2 linked regions of the Neurospora crassa OR74A genome follow. The protein of the gene in region 2 purifies or fractionates together with the protein of the main gene of each other region. This does not show direct contact. Links are inferred from orthologs where the notes say so. Each region holds a gene or a part of one and is shown on either strand. Other genes may lie near its edges.

Region 1 (3,225 bases), about 170 kb from region 2:
TGAACGCAAGTACGGCTGCTAGTGCAGGGAGCGGACCGACGACGGAAGGGGAATCGGGTGTTGAGGCCAAGGGGACGGGAACGGGGACGACGAAGAAACCGAATCTGAAGAAGAAGGCTTCCGCGTTGAAGAACGGGGGGGCCTCGTCGTCGTCGGCGTCTTCGAAACCGGCTAGGCCGTCAAGGAAAGGAGCGTCGTCACCGACCGCGACCAAGACGACGGGTTCTTCTTCGAGTGCCGTGACCGGCCCTGGAATGGGCACGAAGGCGGCTTTGATACTGAACAATATCCGGTCGGTGTTGGATCAGGTTATGACGGCATTCCATGGGAACCCGTTCCTGCTGTACCGGACGCTGGCGTTCATTATCGGGTTCCTGCTGATGTTCAGCAAAAAGAGCGTGAGGGAGAGAATCACAAGAGTGGTGCAGCAAGGGTGGGGGAAAGTGAAGGCTACGGCTGGAATGGGGATGAAAGTTAGTTACATTTGATCCGAGCCCCTTTTTTGCTGCTTGGGTACCAGTATTATTTTGGACATTGGGAGTAAGGGAGGGAATATTCCTGCTCTGATGATAATTAGCATTGCGGCTGTTGTCGCAGCAGGTTTTGGCATGCGACAGTTTTGTTTCGAGTCTATCGTTAATGGGTCATGCATCACGGAAAATAGCTTGTTTCGTTTTCAGTTCATAGTCAAAAGAGATGACACAATCACTGCAACCTGACATGTGATGGCAAAATCTCTAAAGAGTAACCAAGGCCATGTTAGTCAACGCCTAATTAAGAGTACGTGCTTGCTTTTCAGCTTTGTCTTTCTCAACTCCTGCCCTCTTATGCTATGTATGTGAACAGAACTCCCTAACGCCCTTGATGCCAAGTCAAATGCAGCTTGAGCTTGTGACAAATTTCTTTTCTCGAAGTTATATGCCCCTTCCAACATGGTTTCCATCCGTCACAGCCAGGAGCCCATCTCATATCAGGAAACTAACCACCCCAAACAATCTTCCCACACAAGCCCATGCCCGGGCATCTCTATTGTTAAAATGTTCGATTTGTTTTCTTTTGGTAAAATAGCTATTGTGTGAAAACGTACTTCGTTAGCCTCTAATCTTTACGAGCACGCCATCTCCAAGCACTTTATCCCACGGCAAGCGGGAAGGGGGGGGGAAAAAGAAGAAGAGAACTTACATCCGTCCTGGAACTACCCAGGTTTATAATTTTGGGACACCCATCCCTGTCCTTTTCGAGTCTGGTGCACTCGAAGCAGTAGAACGCGTCCGAGATGCCCTCGCCGCCGCACACCACGCACTTGTTCTGGTAGTTGCCGAACGAGCACTCGTCGCAGATGCGCACCAGTGTCGTCGGCCGCACGTACGAGTCGCACACGGGGCACTTGCCATCGCACTTGTCGCAGAGACGGCCGATGGCGATGCCGGATTGTTTGCGGCACATTACTAGATCACTGTGGGGAACGGGAATGTTAGTATGTACATAGTCGGGAAGGTTTATCAAGAAAGGGTCAAGCAGGGCTGGGTTGGGCAAGGAGGGAAGCGAGCATAAAAGAGACGTACGGATGATGGCGAGACATGGTGGGCTAGAGATTATGATGTGTTTTCGCGACGGTGATGGTAGGCAGAAGGATTGAAATTCGGGTGAGATGGGCACGCGTGGTGCTGTCGCGTAGTATAAATTGATCGCTCAGAGAATGCGCTGTACGGTGAATCTGGTCTCGAAATGGCACTTGTGGTTGTAGCCGAGGACGATAGGGAACGTGATGCAAGGCGAAAGATGCGATCACTGGCGATGCCGATGTGGAATCGAATTTCGTCAGCCTCGGCGGCAAGTGGGTAGCGATGTGGCGTCCTCTTCTAGCGTTTTCCGCGTTTTCTTCTGTCAGCCTCGTGGAAGAGCGGATCTTCAAATGCCAAGACATGCGACTGGTGCAGGAAAGTGGGGTTAGCTTCCCAGCTGCTTCCCCGAACAGGGGGATTCGAGCGGCCTCGAACAGCGGACTACCCTGAATAATCCACTTTCGGGGAAGCTGCTCACTGTGATTCTCCCACTGGAGAAGTTCTGGACACAGCCGGTCACTAACAATTTGGCTTCCATCAATCCACCAACACCAGTTTCCAACAACGAACCGGGCGTGTTGGGAGATCAAACCGGCCATTCGACATATATGGGAGAAGTACATTCGACCTTTAACTGCAACGCACAACAAAACCTTTTTGTTACGCCGATCACGTTTTCTGCCAATCACTTCCGAGCTACAAGACCTTACAACTCCAACACCTTTGCTTCAGCTTCAACGCCAAGCTGCTGTCGATTTCCTACTCATGTCTTCGGAACCGATGATGGAAACAGAGGACTTGTCTACCCAGAAACGAAAGGCCACTTCCTCACCATCGCCAGAGGATGGCGTGGCTGCTAAGCGCACCAAACTGGAGGACGGGAACGTCCAGGGCAGGATCAGTGAGATTGTTGAAGGGGAAGCGACGCCAAAAACCGGCAGGACAGAGGAACCTGTAAAGGACTCGATGCGGGAGCCGGTCGCCACAGCGAGGGAGATCCACGCCACGTCAACTACCAAGGACAATGATCATCCAATGGAGAACGAAGCTGTGGCACGCGCCCAAGAAACCACAGTTCAAAGCCCAGTCACTACTAGTAGGAGAGAGTCCGACGAGCAAAGGGAGCAGGCCGCACCGCCGTCTCGAAAGGCACCACTTAGCCCCGAACAAACGCGGAAGAATGTTAGCCTGGAGGAGAAGAAACGCGGCAGGCGCTTGTTTGGTGGTCTCCTCAACACTCTAAGTCAGACTACACCCAACAACTCGCAGCAAAAGAGGAGAAAGGAGATTGAACGCCGCCAGCAGGAACGAGTGCAGCAGCAGAGAGTCGAGGATGATAGGCGCAGAACCGACCTGCTCGCTGAACGCAGACGCTTCCGGGATGCCAAGCAGGTGGACTTCGAAGAGCGGATGGTAGGTTGTCCTTTGACAACGGACTGTTGAACATGCTTACTAACAGACCCCTTTAACTTTTAGATGCACCGGCGGCATGAAAAGATGCTTATCTTGGCTCATAGTCTGCGAACTGTCAGCGAGCCGGTAGTTGTAAGAACTTGACCCCTGGGACAACGAACACGACTTGAATCGAGGGCTAATGATACTACTAGTACTACAAACCCTGGGAGCTCACCAAAGAACAAGAGCGTATCCTCGATGAACA
Region 2 (4,253 bases):
CCCAGTTTTTCGATTGAAAAGATTCTGCACTCAATGTCAGTGTCTGTGAAGATAAGGACGTGCAAAATGGATGGGTGTATCGGGTTGTATTTGTAAGGAACAATTGGTACAATCACATATGATTGCTCCAATCGCCTCATTACCCAAGGGCATAGAGTTCACTTTCCTCATCACATAACTGGACGCCAAACAATTTGGAATAAACTGACCTTAGGTAGTTGGCATGAATACCAACCATGCCTTCCAAGCACTGTTCGCTACTGAAGTTCCAACCATACTCAAGCTCGGTGTAACTTAGGGGCGTCATCATGAAGCCCTTAGTAAGTGGGTCGGTGTAGCCTAACCATGGCCTCGAGCTCAGCGCAAGAACACATGGCTGATCCTGAACTGATACTTGGAAAAGTCTGGTAGGCTTGGGACCCAAGAATTTTTGACGAGTGTCTGTCAGTTCGCCCGTCACTTCATCCAGCACAGTCCGGAGGTAAACGCCCGAATGCAATCCGATGTGGAGATAGAGCGTGGATCCACCAAACGAGTCCTCCATCGACATGATTGATAAAGCCGAGGGCGCGGCTGTTAAAGCTTGGATGGACTTCATCTCGAGTGTTGAATCAGGGTCCAAGCTAAGAATGCGAACTGTGCAATCATCGCATCCTACAGCTAGGAAAGAGCTTCGCTTCAGGCCCTCCGGTACTTGACCGACGCTCAGCGATGTGACGGTACCCGACATCTCCTTCTTTTCGTCATACTCGGCGAGCGAACCATCCGAGTCCATTTCGAAGTAGACGATTTCGCCAGAGCTCAAGGCGATGACAACCTGATTCTCATTTGCCGTGGCAGCAACAATCGAGCGATGCTGAGGTGCAGGCCATTCATTGACACGACCTTGGACGATGTGGCGAATGCCCTTGGGGTGAACTTGTATCAAGCCATCCTCACCCATTTGCTGCACAGCTAGGGTGGGCGCCGTAGTCAAGAAACCACTATCGCTGACCTCTTCTACCGTCTCACCAATGCTGAGAACCAATGTTCCATTTGTGAATGACAGCACAATATAAGCATCGTACTGATCGTACTTGGTCAACTTAGTCGTCCATACAGCAGAAGGTGTACCCGGAAGCTCCGAAGCGACAATTTCAGACACTTCGAGTCCGTGCTTCAACATGCGGAAAGTACTCCGCGCCCCATTTCCACAGACAGAGTAGATCTGGGGCGCGTCCTCTCCCGTCAGATTCGCAACCTTGCAGTCGACCTGAGGGTTCATCGAATCAATGCTCTCAACCAGGACCAGATTTTCAAGTGGCCTGGGGTGGAAGTACACCGGGTTATATGAGGCGGTAGGGTCTGTCGGGAAGTCGTCGCTGCTGAACTCGAGCTCCTCGTCATCGTCTCCGAGCTTTTCAAATTGGTAAAAGTGATGGTTTCCAAACTCGCTAGCGGCGAACAGGAAGCCGCTCTTCAGGATGCAAAGACTAGTGGCTACTGGTATCGTGTCGAAGTACTTGATCTTGAGGCGCTTGACCTCTCCGGTGGGGTTGCCGTCACTATCTTCGATCATGTCAATGGTGACTTTGAAGAGATCTCCATCGTCCGTCTGAAGAAGGAAGAAAAAGGCGCCCGCGCTTCCCTTGAGCTTGTGCATAACGCCAGAGACGATAACCCGCTTCCTCTGAGGATCTTCGGTGGCACCGCTGCGTCTAGGGATGGGGACGCGGAAAGCCTCTTGATTCGAGTGCCGATAGGTGACATTTTCCTCGCCGCACACCAAGACACCGCTGGGACCGTCATTGCCGCCGGGTACTTGGAAGAGAAGTGAAGAAGTGCGATCGACAGTATCTGACCACTTGCGTACAACGTGGTTCAGGCCCAGATCAAGCTCGTAATATACCAGCTGTGTCTCGACTTCTTCTCGTGCTTGGCCCGTAGGATCTTGGTCCGCGTCCGTGTAGTCCAGTTCCAACGCAGCGAAAACGGGGTTTGCGTAACCAACGTCAAGGGCAACAAGAGACAGCACCAACACGCCTGGCTTGTGGGCTTCCAGTGGTGACGAGATGGTAAGCTCGGCCTGTGAGTTTCGGTTGAGAACATAGACCAGCTTGTTCTTTTCGAGTGCCGAAATGAGGCATGCTCTTCCCTTTGGATCTGCGGCTAAGTACTGGCCGGGGATGACTCGGCGGACGCCCGATTTGCCGAAAGTCTCGAGGTGGATGCGCTGAAACTTGTTCGTCTTGGGGAGATACTCGATAATCGTAATGCGGCCCGAATCAGTGGCGAGGATAATGTAGTCTGGGTGGCACAGGGTTTTAGCACAATCCCGCTACCGATTTGAATGAGTCTCTCAAGTCCCCAGAAGACTCGTAGGCCTGGGTGCATGGTGCGTGACCATACGTGTGGCCCCTCTACCCAGAAGCACCTGGGGAACGGATCCAGAATCACTATATTGCCCAACACAGGAGGTGGCGGGGAGGTTACTCACCCTTGTGGCTGCCGGCCAGACGGAACGACGCGATGGCGCGTACGATGCCGAAGATGTCATGAGACAACAGGGTGTTGACCTTGCCCTGACGGGGATCAGGCTGAAGGAGGGTTAGACGCGATCCAGACGCCGTAAGAATCTGCTGTTCCTTGGTTCCCGAGAACTGACCAAGCAGAGCCTGCGTGACAGCGGTGGGTGGCTGGATGGTCAAGGAATACAGGAACATGTTCGACGTAGTCGCCATGGCTGCAACTGGGCGCAGACAGCCGGCGCGGCTCTGCTTTCTCGAGGTTGTTTTTGCAAGTGGGTAGGACTCGGTTGTGCTCTGTCAATGCTGCCGTCGTTATGTTGAGAAGACCAATGCGCGAAAGTCAGCCAGATTGTCGAAAATCTAGAGTTGAATATCGAGTAGATGATTGTAACACGGCAAAAAAAAATGAAACACGGTCCAGTGTTCTGGCACTCTGGCGAGGTAGATGGAGTCGGTTGCCGTCGATGGTATTTCTGGCCAATTGGTGCAGTCCAGTCACTCAGGTTGCAGCGGTACGTCGGACTCGGTCCACGGTAGGTCGTAGACGCCGCCCACTCATCTTCCCGCCTCGCGACTGTGGCTTGCTCGTAGCTCTCTGACCCGCATACGTAACGTCAGACGGAGCTTACCTAGGCACAATTGTGGCTGGTGAAGCAAGAACAAAGTGGGTCATTCGATGGACGGGACCCGCCTAGGCACTTAGGCACAGTAGAGGTAGGTAGCGAGTCGGGTCGGTGGGAGAGGACCCCGGATTGCTGGGAGCTGCTGCCAAAAAGTCAATTGGAAAGTCGCATCGAGTCCCGGCGATCCAGATTCCCGATCGAACATCATCCGACCTCTTGAACTCCCAATGGCCCTCCCAGCAGACCGCGCCGTGCGTCCGGCCTTGTCCAAGCTTTGCTCGCAATGCTCGACTTTCACAGCTAGACAGAGCAGGCAAAGTGCTGCGTTTTTGCAGTCAGCCCAGCAACGCTCCGTCAGCTCCATCCGAGGGGCACAGAGCTCTTCCTCGTCTTCGACGCAAGTCGGCGGCATCACCAGAACCATTTCGCGTCCGATCCAGGCTTCGATCACAAGCAAGCTTCCTTCCGTTGCTGCCCAGTCCAGAACCAAGGCCAGCAGCTCGACATCGTTTGCCACCAACGAGGATCTGGCCGGTAGTGGTATCCCCTCGAAGCCGATTCTCGAGCAGGACAACCTCTTCCACTCCTTCACCAACTCGCCCATCCCCAAGATCCGCCAGCGCGCGGCCTTCATAAGACAGCACGCCAGCTGCCCCCACCATAGCCACCGCCCAGGGCAGTTCTCCGAGACCAACCGCCAAGTCGATACCGAGTCTGGCTCCCAGCCGCCGAAGCACGTCGATTTCGAGTGCCCTGACTGTGGCATCCCGGTATATTGCAGCGAGCAGCATTGGATGGACGACTATGAGAAACATCTCGAGATATGCGACACTCTGCGGCAGATCAATGAAGATGACCATGACCTCCATTCAGGCCGCCACTTCTACGAGTTCAACTACGCCGGTCCGCAAATGGATGATGCCATGGTCAACATGACCAACTGGGACACGTTCATGTATACCCGTCAGTTCGAAGCTGTCAACGATGACCGGTGCATGAGACAGGCGACTAGGTTGTTGACCTATCCTCTCACGATCGGCAGCGTTCTTCACGAGTTGAGCCCGTACCACATCCGGAATCGCCTCACGGTCGAGGGCTTAAAGAGTTTGACGGCACTTCGCTA

Evidence for each region.
Region 1: the proteins of NCU00396 (region 2) and NCU00348 purify together in Saccharomyces cerevisiae (affinity purification with mass spectrometry; 5 studies listed by BioGRID). This does not show direct contact. The link is inferred for Neurospora crassa OR74A from reciprocal best matches to the Saccharomyces cerevisiae genes RSE1 and RDS3.

The regions. Positions count from the first base shown.
Region 1 is NC_026503.1:3,536,692-3,539,916, forward strand, and holds NCU00348 (pre-mRNA splicing factor), read right to left. Parts: upstream 1,839-3,225; 5' UTR 1,583-1,838; coding exon 1,566-1,582; intron 1,457-1,565; coding exon 1,183-1,456; intron 1,069-1,182; coding exon 1,033-1,068; 3' UTR 725-1,032; downstream 1-724. Other genes in the region: pex26 (peroxin-26 Pex26-Penicillium chrysogenum), read left to right, coding at 1-488; NCU00349 (hypothetical protein), read left to right, coding at 2,331-2,978, 3,042-3,110, 3,173-3,225. UniProt on the Saccharomyces cerevisiae protein: Required for pre-mRNA splicing. Involved in regulation of drug sensitivity and may play a role in multidrug resistance.
Region 2 is NC_026503.1:3,707,247-3,711,499, reverse strand, and holds the start of NCU00396 (pre-mRNA-splicing factor rse-1), read right to left. Parts: upstream 3,003-4,253; 5' UTR 2,721-3,002; coding exon 2,477-2,720; intron 2,414-2,476; exon of another isoform or gene 2,287-2,413; coding exon 210-2,286; intron 25-209; coding exon 1-24. Other genes in the region: NCU00395 (mRNA processing protein), read left to right, coding at 3,358-4,253. UniProt on the Saccharomyces cerevisiae protein: Involved in G2/M transition. Required for pre-mRNA splicing and endoplasmic reticulum (ER) to Golgi secretion pathway. U2 snRNPs associated protein required for the pre-spliceosome assembly.